2 linked regions of the Tribolium castaneum genome follow. The main gene of each other region encodes a partner of the protein of the gene in region 2 in a complex. Links are inferred from orthologs where the notes say so. Each region holds a gene or a part of one and is shown on either strand. Other genes may lie near its edges.

What was found.
Region 1: the proteins of B-cell receptor-associated protein 31 (region 2) and Fis1 are in contact, whole or in part, in a crystal structure (PDB 8XWX), measured with the Homo sapiens proteins. The link is inferred for Tribolium castaneum from reciprocal best matches to the Homo sapiens genes BCAP31 and FIS1. Residues at the interface, in NP_001132913.1 of Homo sapiens: Asp224, Leu227, Glu228, Ala231, Lys232, Ala235; in NP_057152.2 of Homo sapiens: Arg52, Val56, Glu59, Glu60, Pro63, Lys64, Lys89.

What each region holds. Positions count from the first base shown.
Region 1 is NC_087398.1:2,702,485-2,705,559, forward strand, and holds Fis1 (mitochondrial fission 1 protein), read right to left. Parts: upstream 1,644-3,075; 5' UTR 1,515-1,643; coding exon 1,470-1,514; intron 1,378-1,469; coding exon 1,119-1,377; intron 1,070-1,118; coding exon 918-1,069; 3' UTR 521-917; downstream 1-520. UniProt on the Homo sapiens protein: Involved in the fragmentation of the mitochondrial network and its perinuclear clustering. Plays a minor role in the recruitment and association of the fission mediator dynamin-related protein 1 (DNM1L) to the mitochondrial surface and mitochondrial fission.
Region 2 is NC_087394.1:25,805,113-25,809,534, reverse strand, and holds the start of B-cell receptor-associated protein 31, read right to left. Parts: upstream 2,816-4,422; 5' UTR 2,686-2,815; intron 2,621-2,685; 5' UTR 2,531-2,620; coding exon 2,302-2,530; intron 2,256-2,301; coding exon 2,146-2,255; intron 363-2,145; coding exon 198-362; intron 149-197; coding exon 1-148. Other genes in the region: uncharacterized protein LOC661444, read left to right, coding at 2,926-3,192. UniProt on the Homo sapiens protein: Functions as a chaperone protein. Is one of the most abundant endoplasmic reticulum (ER) proteins.

The sequences.
Region 1 (3,075 bases), on a different chromosome or scaffold from region 2:
AAATCTCAAAAATTTAAAAAATCCAGGCTACTGACTCAGATAAATTAGTGACATAGCTGTAGTGAAAAATATCCATATTTTACAGGAGACATATTTCCGACTTTTCTCATGAAAAAAATAATTTTTAAAAATTATAGTTTTGGATATTTTAGCTCTAAACTGTATACGAGTACTTACATACTTAACATGGTGATTTATTGGTCGATTTTTTGTTACAATTTTTTTCTCAAATAGTTTGTTGAAGCTGTTTTTTCCTTTTCTGTTCTCCATAAGGTAAAAAGTTACGATGAATTCGAAATAATTGGTGTAAGTAAACGCAAGTATACCATAGGATTGTAAATGAAAAAAATAGACATTTGGTCAATTCAGATTTAAGATCAAAATGGTAATAAAAAGTGTTTGTATAGATATTTCAAATCAATGCAAAGCTTGGTTTGACAGCTATGCAACCAAATATACAAGTGTATTGTGGTGAAGATAATTTCAGCATATTTTAGATTTTCTTTAGAAAAACACAATATTTAGATAAAACTTTATTATTTATTTAGCAATATACAGTGATTTATGACTAAGAAATTAAACTAAACTTAAAAAATCAATGACAACCTATTCACAGCTTGCATAATGGTGACAGTCTACACAAGAAGTAATGAGCAAAATATACATTCTTCACCTATTGACTTCTTGTTTTAAATTACACAAATACACAAATAATTTGAAATGAAAAAGTCCTTATAAAAATAGCGTGTGCCTTTTCGAGTGTTACATTTAATTTATCCAAGTTTGAACCAAAAATTAAATGCCAATTAATAAAACAAGTGATAACACAGACTCATGTAATCACGAAACAAACACAAAAAATACAATTTGGTACAAGTAAAAATGGTAACACTATCACATTTGATATGTGGGAAGCACTAAGACTTAACTTTGCTAGCTATAGCCATTCCCACGCCAACTATGGCACCCACAGCAAGAACAACCCCCCCAGCCATAGCCATTCCCACCAAGCCCTCTTTTTCCATTTTCTTCTTAATCGTTTGTTGTAAACTAATGACTTGCTGATTACCTAAAACAGCCAAGTTCCAAACCTTACATAAACATTCCAAAGTGCAAACCTGGCTCAATTAACAAAAATGACCTAACATAATTGAGAGCTTTGGTGTACTCCTTCAACCTCGCCGTCCCAATTGCTAAATAATACAGATAGTCCCGTTGGCCCTCTTCGTGTGTCTTGTACAAGTCCTCCAGCAGAATTATCCCTTTCTGTATGTCGGCAGGATACTTGCTCCTGACCAAACACCAAGCGTATTCGAACTGAGCTTTAGGCGTTACGTCGTTTTTGTACAGCTGTTCGTGGTAAATTTTCTCGAATTTCTGCAATTATCCTTGTGTTTATTAACAATTATGACTCATTGATAAGTTGACAGAGCGAATGGCGCACTTGGTGCGGTTCCGAAGGCGCTCACCTTTAGGTCGCTGGGTTCCACCGTTTCAGTCAAAACTCCTGCCATGTTCACCCTCACTTACGGATTTTCCTCAAGAAAAACAGTGAATGTCGAATGAAAATCGCATTTGATGACAACGTGAAAACTTCAATATTTATACTTCAGTGACCTCTAAATGCGATCCCAACACTCACAGCTGTCACGACAGGAAACTGTAACGCGAACCCGCAACCAACAATACTCTTTTTGAATTGAAGATTTTATTTCAAGCTTATTAATTATTAAACAACCCTACAGTTGAGTTCTTTCACTGGGTTTGGATAAACAGAAAACAACCCTTCAAGCGTCATCTCTCCAACCGGATGCTAAACTAAATATAGGGTGCAGTTCTCCAATTTGAAAAACACTGAAACCTTTATTTTTATCGATCAACAAATTAAAAAATGAGTATTATTTATTAAAAAAATGTTAGGGCTGCAAAAAAACACAAAACTGCTCGCAGTAAAAGGCGAAATTCAATAGAATTGATTCTGCAGATGTGCCAAGTGCTTACACAAACAGACGTTAAGATGAATTAGCTAATTTAATTAACACTTCAGTTAATTGCGAAGGATTATTATAGCACGGCTAAGCCAAATGCTAAACTCATGTAAAGTGATTCACACCATGTTTTTTTCATGTGGCGAGGTCATTTATGTTACGACATTTACAATTAAGTGTTTCCATCCATTCGTTGGTTTATAACTTTTTAATGCTGCACGTAAAACAAAAGTTAATGATTACAAGTACATATTTCAAATTATTTATAGAATTTTATAGTCTTAGGTATGGCTTGGGTAATGTGTTTGAAAGAAATTAGTTTTTCTTGCACAATAGAACTGAACTTAATTTGAACTAAATTCTTGCGTTGCTCTTTATTGATATAAAGACATCCAGATATGACTAAAAGAAATAAAAAACGCAAATAAAGATCTGAAATAGTTTATTTATTGTAAATATTGATAGTTAAGGTTAAAGTCATATGTACAAAACACTATGTTTATTTACAATATAAAATGCACTTTGTTTTTACACACAAAAATTACAAAAACATTCACTCTTTCTAGGTATAATAATTTAACTATGACTAGTTCATCAATTGTGTTCAGCACTAGACCACTTGAGAAAAAAACGGGAAATGTTACGTTTGGGAACGTGTTGGAAAGAAATCCTATTGGCGTAAACGGTCACAATCACTCAGCTCTTGGAATGCAATATTTCTTATCTGTATAGTCGATCACACAATAAAAAATTAATAAATACTCTTCTACAGTCTAAAATTTAGAATATATACAAAATATATAGAAATATTGCATGTTACATGTATGTACACCGACTTAAATATTTTCAAGTATATTGAAAATATCAAATCTCTTATTGGAAGTGGTATTTATGACCGCAACATCTAAACCCAATCGAGAAGTGACTTGAACACAATCAGAAAACGCTTGAAACAAAAATAACTACCACCAAGTCCCCTATGTACACCTAACTGGCATCTAAACGTTTGCAGTCATCAAATATCACATCTTTTCTTACAAATATGATAAACATCACTCTGTTCGTATCATCATAGTTCAGTGTCCAG
Region 2 (4,422 bases):
TTTTCTTCTGTAATTTGCTGTGTTCTTCAGCAAGACGGTCATACTCTTTGGCCAAATTATCTGATTGTTTCTTCATTGCGTTTTTATCTCTTACTTCAGTTGCGAGCTCTTCTTCCAAATCTTTGATCTTCTTCTTCAATTCGGAAATCTAGTGAAACACATGAGCATGTTTTTTTTGACAAAAATGCGGTCATTACCTCTTTATCGTGGGCTTCGTTGGTGTCATTTTGGGCAATTTCGCCCCTTTGAGCCAATAAACTCTTAGCAGCTGTTGTCGCACTTTGGGCCTGACGCATTGAAGCCTCAGATTGAGCCAACAAGGCGGCTTGGGATGAAATCAGGATCACCAAACGACGAATCACCTAAAAAAATTAAGAAAAAAGGTGTATACCGTATTTTTTCTATAGTTATTGGAACATACAGTCCATTATTAACTTTTAAATGTTAGAGAAAATTAATCTTTTTTTACTCGCCTGTTTTTGAAATTAGATACAGTACAAACTATTTTTTGTTTGTATTTTTGGAAGTAGTTTTTAGCACTAATGTTTTAGTCGATTTTGCTTAATTTTAGAAATAATTTAATTTTTTAAAGAAAACACAAGCTTAAAGTTCGAGGGTTGTGGTTATGCAACGAGCGTATGCGAGTTTTATACCTAGACACCCTAGAACTCTAAGCGTTTTCGTAAATGTTATACAAGATTTTTTTGTTAGAACATTTTAATTTAAAACACGTTGCTATGGGGAGCGTGTCTTAATTTTTTTTTCTTGGTTGCCATGAGCTAAAAAAAATATAGCCCTATAGTTTGAACATTTTTGTTTAAAGTGGTAAAAATCTCTCTTTTCCAGGAATCTTAGATTTTGAGCAATAATACATGTTTTTAAAAAACTTGCGATTATTAAAAAATAATTAAATTTTTCAAAAATCAATTAATAAAAATCGACCAACACAAATTTAGAACAAAATCATCAGTAATAAAACACTCTGTATAATAACTTAGTTCTCATTTAATATTTAAATATTTATTAAAAATTGAATTGTGTTACCTAACTAATGAGCAATAAAAAAATAGCTTTGGCGAAATACTCGATTTTTAAATTATAAGATCACCAGGGACTCGATTTTTGAAATCCTTCGTTAAAATATTCGCAATTTAGCGATGATGACATCCAAAAACACCAATTTTTGACTTTCCTCCTGAGTCGTTCGGTGGTCGTTAGTTATTTGTCAAATAAATTTTGAATAAACCCAAATTAATATTTGAAATACAAGCAAGAACTACAAAAATTTCGTAAGAGCAATTCTTATTAACCAATTCTTATTATCCAAAATACGCTGCGAGAAAATGTTAAAAAATTCATAAACTCTAACAGCACGAAAAAATTAGAAATGAAACTAGAATGGAAAAATTACTTATGTTTTATCAAGTAGTTAAATGGTGTTGGATAACACAAAGCAGGAAAAAATCATTTTAGGCTTAGATAAGAGATATTATGCCACTTGAAAATATGTAATAGTAATAACAATATTTTAATAGATGTATATGTTTTTTTGTAGAGTAACCTCCCTCAAGAAAACCAACATAAATCTTTTTTTTTAACTCAGTCATCTTCCAATAATGTAAAATCTAAATAAACACAAATAAAATGTAAATCCATTTATAAATTAATGTGCAATATTATTTTTTCTTTATAAATATAAACTTGAAAGTTGGAAATTATTAAATAAACAAAATGGGCTGTAATTACTAGACACCAAAACTAATCCAAAAGTAAACACAAAACTAATTTGAGAAGACTACTTTCACAGCTTAGTGACCATACCCCCAACAGTTAATCCCTTTCCCAGAAACCATTAACCCAAACCCTTGACTTTATGGTGAAATTTGTAAACACAAAAGAATTCTACCTGTTTATGAGAAATTATTAGCATTTCCACCTGAAAGTCATAAATACAAACACAAAATTTCACTGCCCCGTAAAAATTTGTCCTTGGCATAATTTAGCTTTATACAAATTTTTAGACAGCGTCTAATCGCTCTGAGTCACGATTACATTCCTGGAAGTTGGACCTTGCCCTGTGGTCTTAGCGCGTTTCTAATTTTATTGTGCAATCATCAGTACTTGAGTTGATTGCATTTTACTCACCAGTGACAAAAACAAGGCAAATCCGGAGATGTAGAAGTTCCTTTGCGCCCTAAACAGCCGCATACTCCCCTGCATTTCGCGGTCCAAATGACTGTGTTGTTCTTCGGATTCTAGAAATGTGAATTCTAGAAACACTCATAAAAAATTAATAATCACCTGTTTGCGAATATTTGCGCATTTCCCTGATGGCGTCAAGCAGGAACAGGACAAGAATCGCCAACAGGATCATAAAATACATCCCCGCCTGTCTCTGCAACCCTTGCAGAAACCTTGACTTGAAAAAGGCGTTCCATCGCTTGGGACTAGCCACTGGCAGCACCAATAGAAGCACGATAGCGATCTCCACGTAGAGAAACCCGGCGATTAGCGTCCACTGCAGACTCATTTCACTGATAATCGAAACTTGAAACGTTTGAGGTTAACTTTTATAGTTTTGACAGTTGGGTGGACTCTTGTCTGATGTGGCTTTCCTCAGCTAAAAACAGACCGTGATTCGTGATTGGTGCAAAAGATAGGTAAATAAACTCAAATCTGACTCACCCACTTATAAATAAACGCGTGAAGAGGTCACGATTACGCAATTTTCGCTTTTATCACGCGAATTCAATTCTATTGCGTTACCGACCGAACGTGCCGGTAAAACAGGGATTTGCGCGAAATTGCGTTTCACAACGCAGTCGGGGGCTTCCCCCTGTTCTGCATTCGCATCACTTTTATCGCCGTATCAGTTGTGGCGTGGCAGTTGTGTGATTTACACGTAGTAAAGATAATTGTTTCAAAATGGGGCGCAAAAAATTCAACAAGCCTCAGACAGGGGCTGACACCTCCAAAAGCTCCTCAAAACCAAGGGATGAGTCCGAAAAAGGAGATTTTGAGTCGAGGAAGAGGAACACAAGAGAATTTTCAAACTCGAACTTTAGACGCTCGGGTGGCAATTTGAGGAAAGAAGATGACCGGAAAAGTGAACCGTTCAAGAGGAGCAGACAGGATTTCGAGGGGGAAAATAGGAGGCATACGTTTAATGCGTCGCACGGCAGGCGCTCAAGTGTAAGTTATTTAAATTTTGGTAAAAAATGTGATGTTAGCCACTTACTATTATATCCTATTTTCTATTGTAGAATGTTTCACCAGGGCATTTGATTTTTTGGGGTGAAAAAAGCACAAAATCGAGAGTTTCTTTCTTTATAAGAAAAAATTCTGTGTTCAACTAAATCCCAGCAACAAATTTTGAGCCAAGAAATTGGCCATTTCACTCCAAAAAATGCAAATATGTTGTTGCAAAATTCTACTATGAACTGAAATGGGATATACGATACACTAGTAGGGCTCCTTCCGAACATTTTGTTCAGTATACACTTTTTTTAATCAAATCTATCCCGTTTTTCAAGGTACCTTTGTTAAAAGTTAAAATTAAAATGATTCAATCCAAAAAAATTCACCTTTTAAAAACGCTTAAAATTCACCTTTTTGCCCTGTTTTTTGTTGGACCACTTCAGCACAAAAATGAATACGTCCAAGCAAATCATGTTTTCAACGGTGTGTTCAAAAAATAATTACATAATAATTAATTATAAGATTGTAGCATAATAAACTTTTCAGTGGCCCCCAGATTGTTCGGGGTCCGAGCTGAAAATAACTTACAAAATGATATCATCTGTAAAAAAACAACTGCGCAAATAAAGAAAAAAGAAGTACACATAAAACATTCCTTCATGAATTCATTTTCATACAAAGTTTGGGTACAAGGTGTTTTCTAATGCTTTTTATTAATTCAGCAAAATTTTGAATATTTTTATACATGAATATTTTTCTGCCGTTCTATCATTTTTAAGTTTGGTAAAATGAAATTATTGCTATGTGACATATCTCAATAAAAAATAAACTTTTTTTCTAAATATTAAACGAAGTATTAGTTGTTTCAAAACTACAATCTGTCTATAAATGATCGTAGTAGGTATTAAAAGTTTGCCGTTTCCTTTAAAAAAAACAAACATTGTTAGTATATGAAAAATTTGGTTTTACTGATTGCCTGAGTACATAAAATTTGGTATTTTCTGAAATTTCATAGAAATAAATTAATTAAATGCGGCAAATTCAAATTCCAGAACCACCTGAGATCCTACACTCTTTTATAAATAGTCCGTATAAAAACGCCAACGTCGCATTTTCTCTTAAAATTAGCTAATATAAATTATTTATGTACTTCAAAATAATAATGTAATTTATACTTTCAATTTTACTATTAGTAACTATTTTATAATTTTATCAATCTTATTA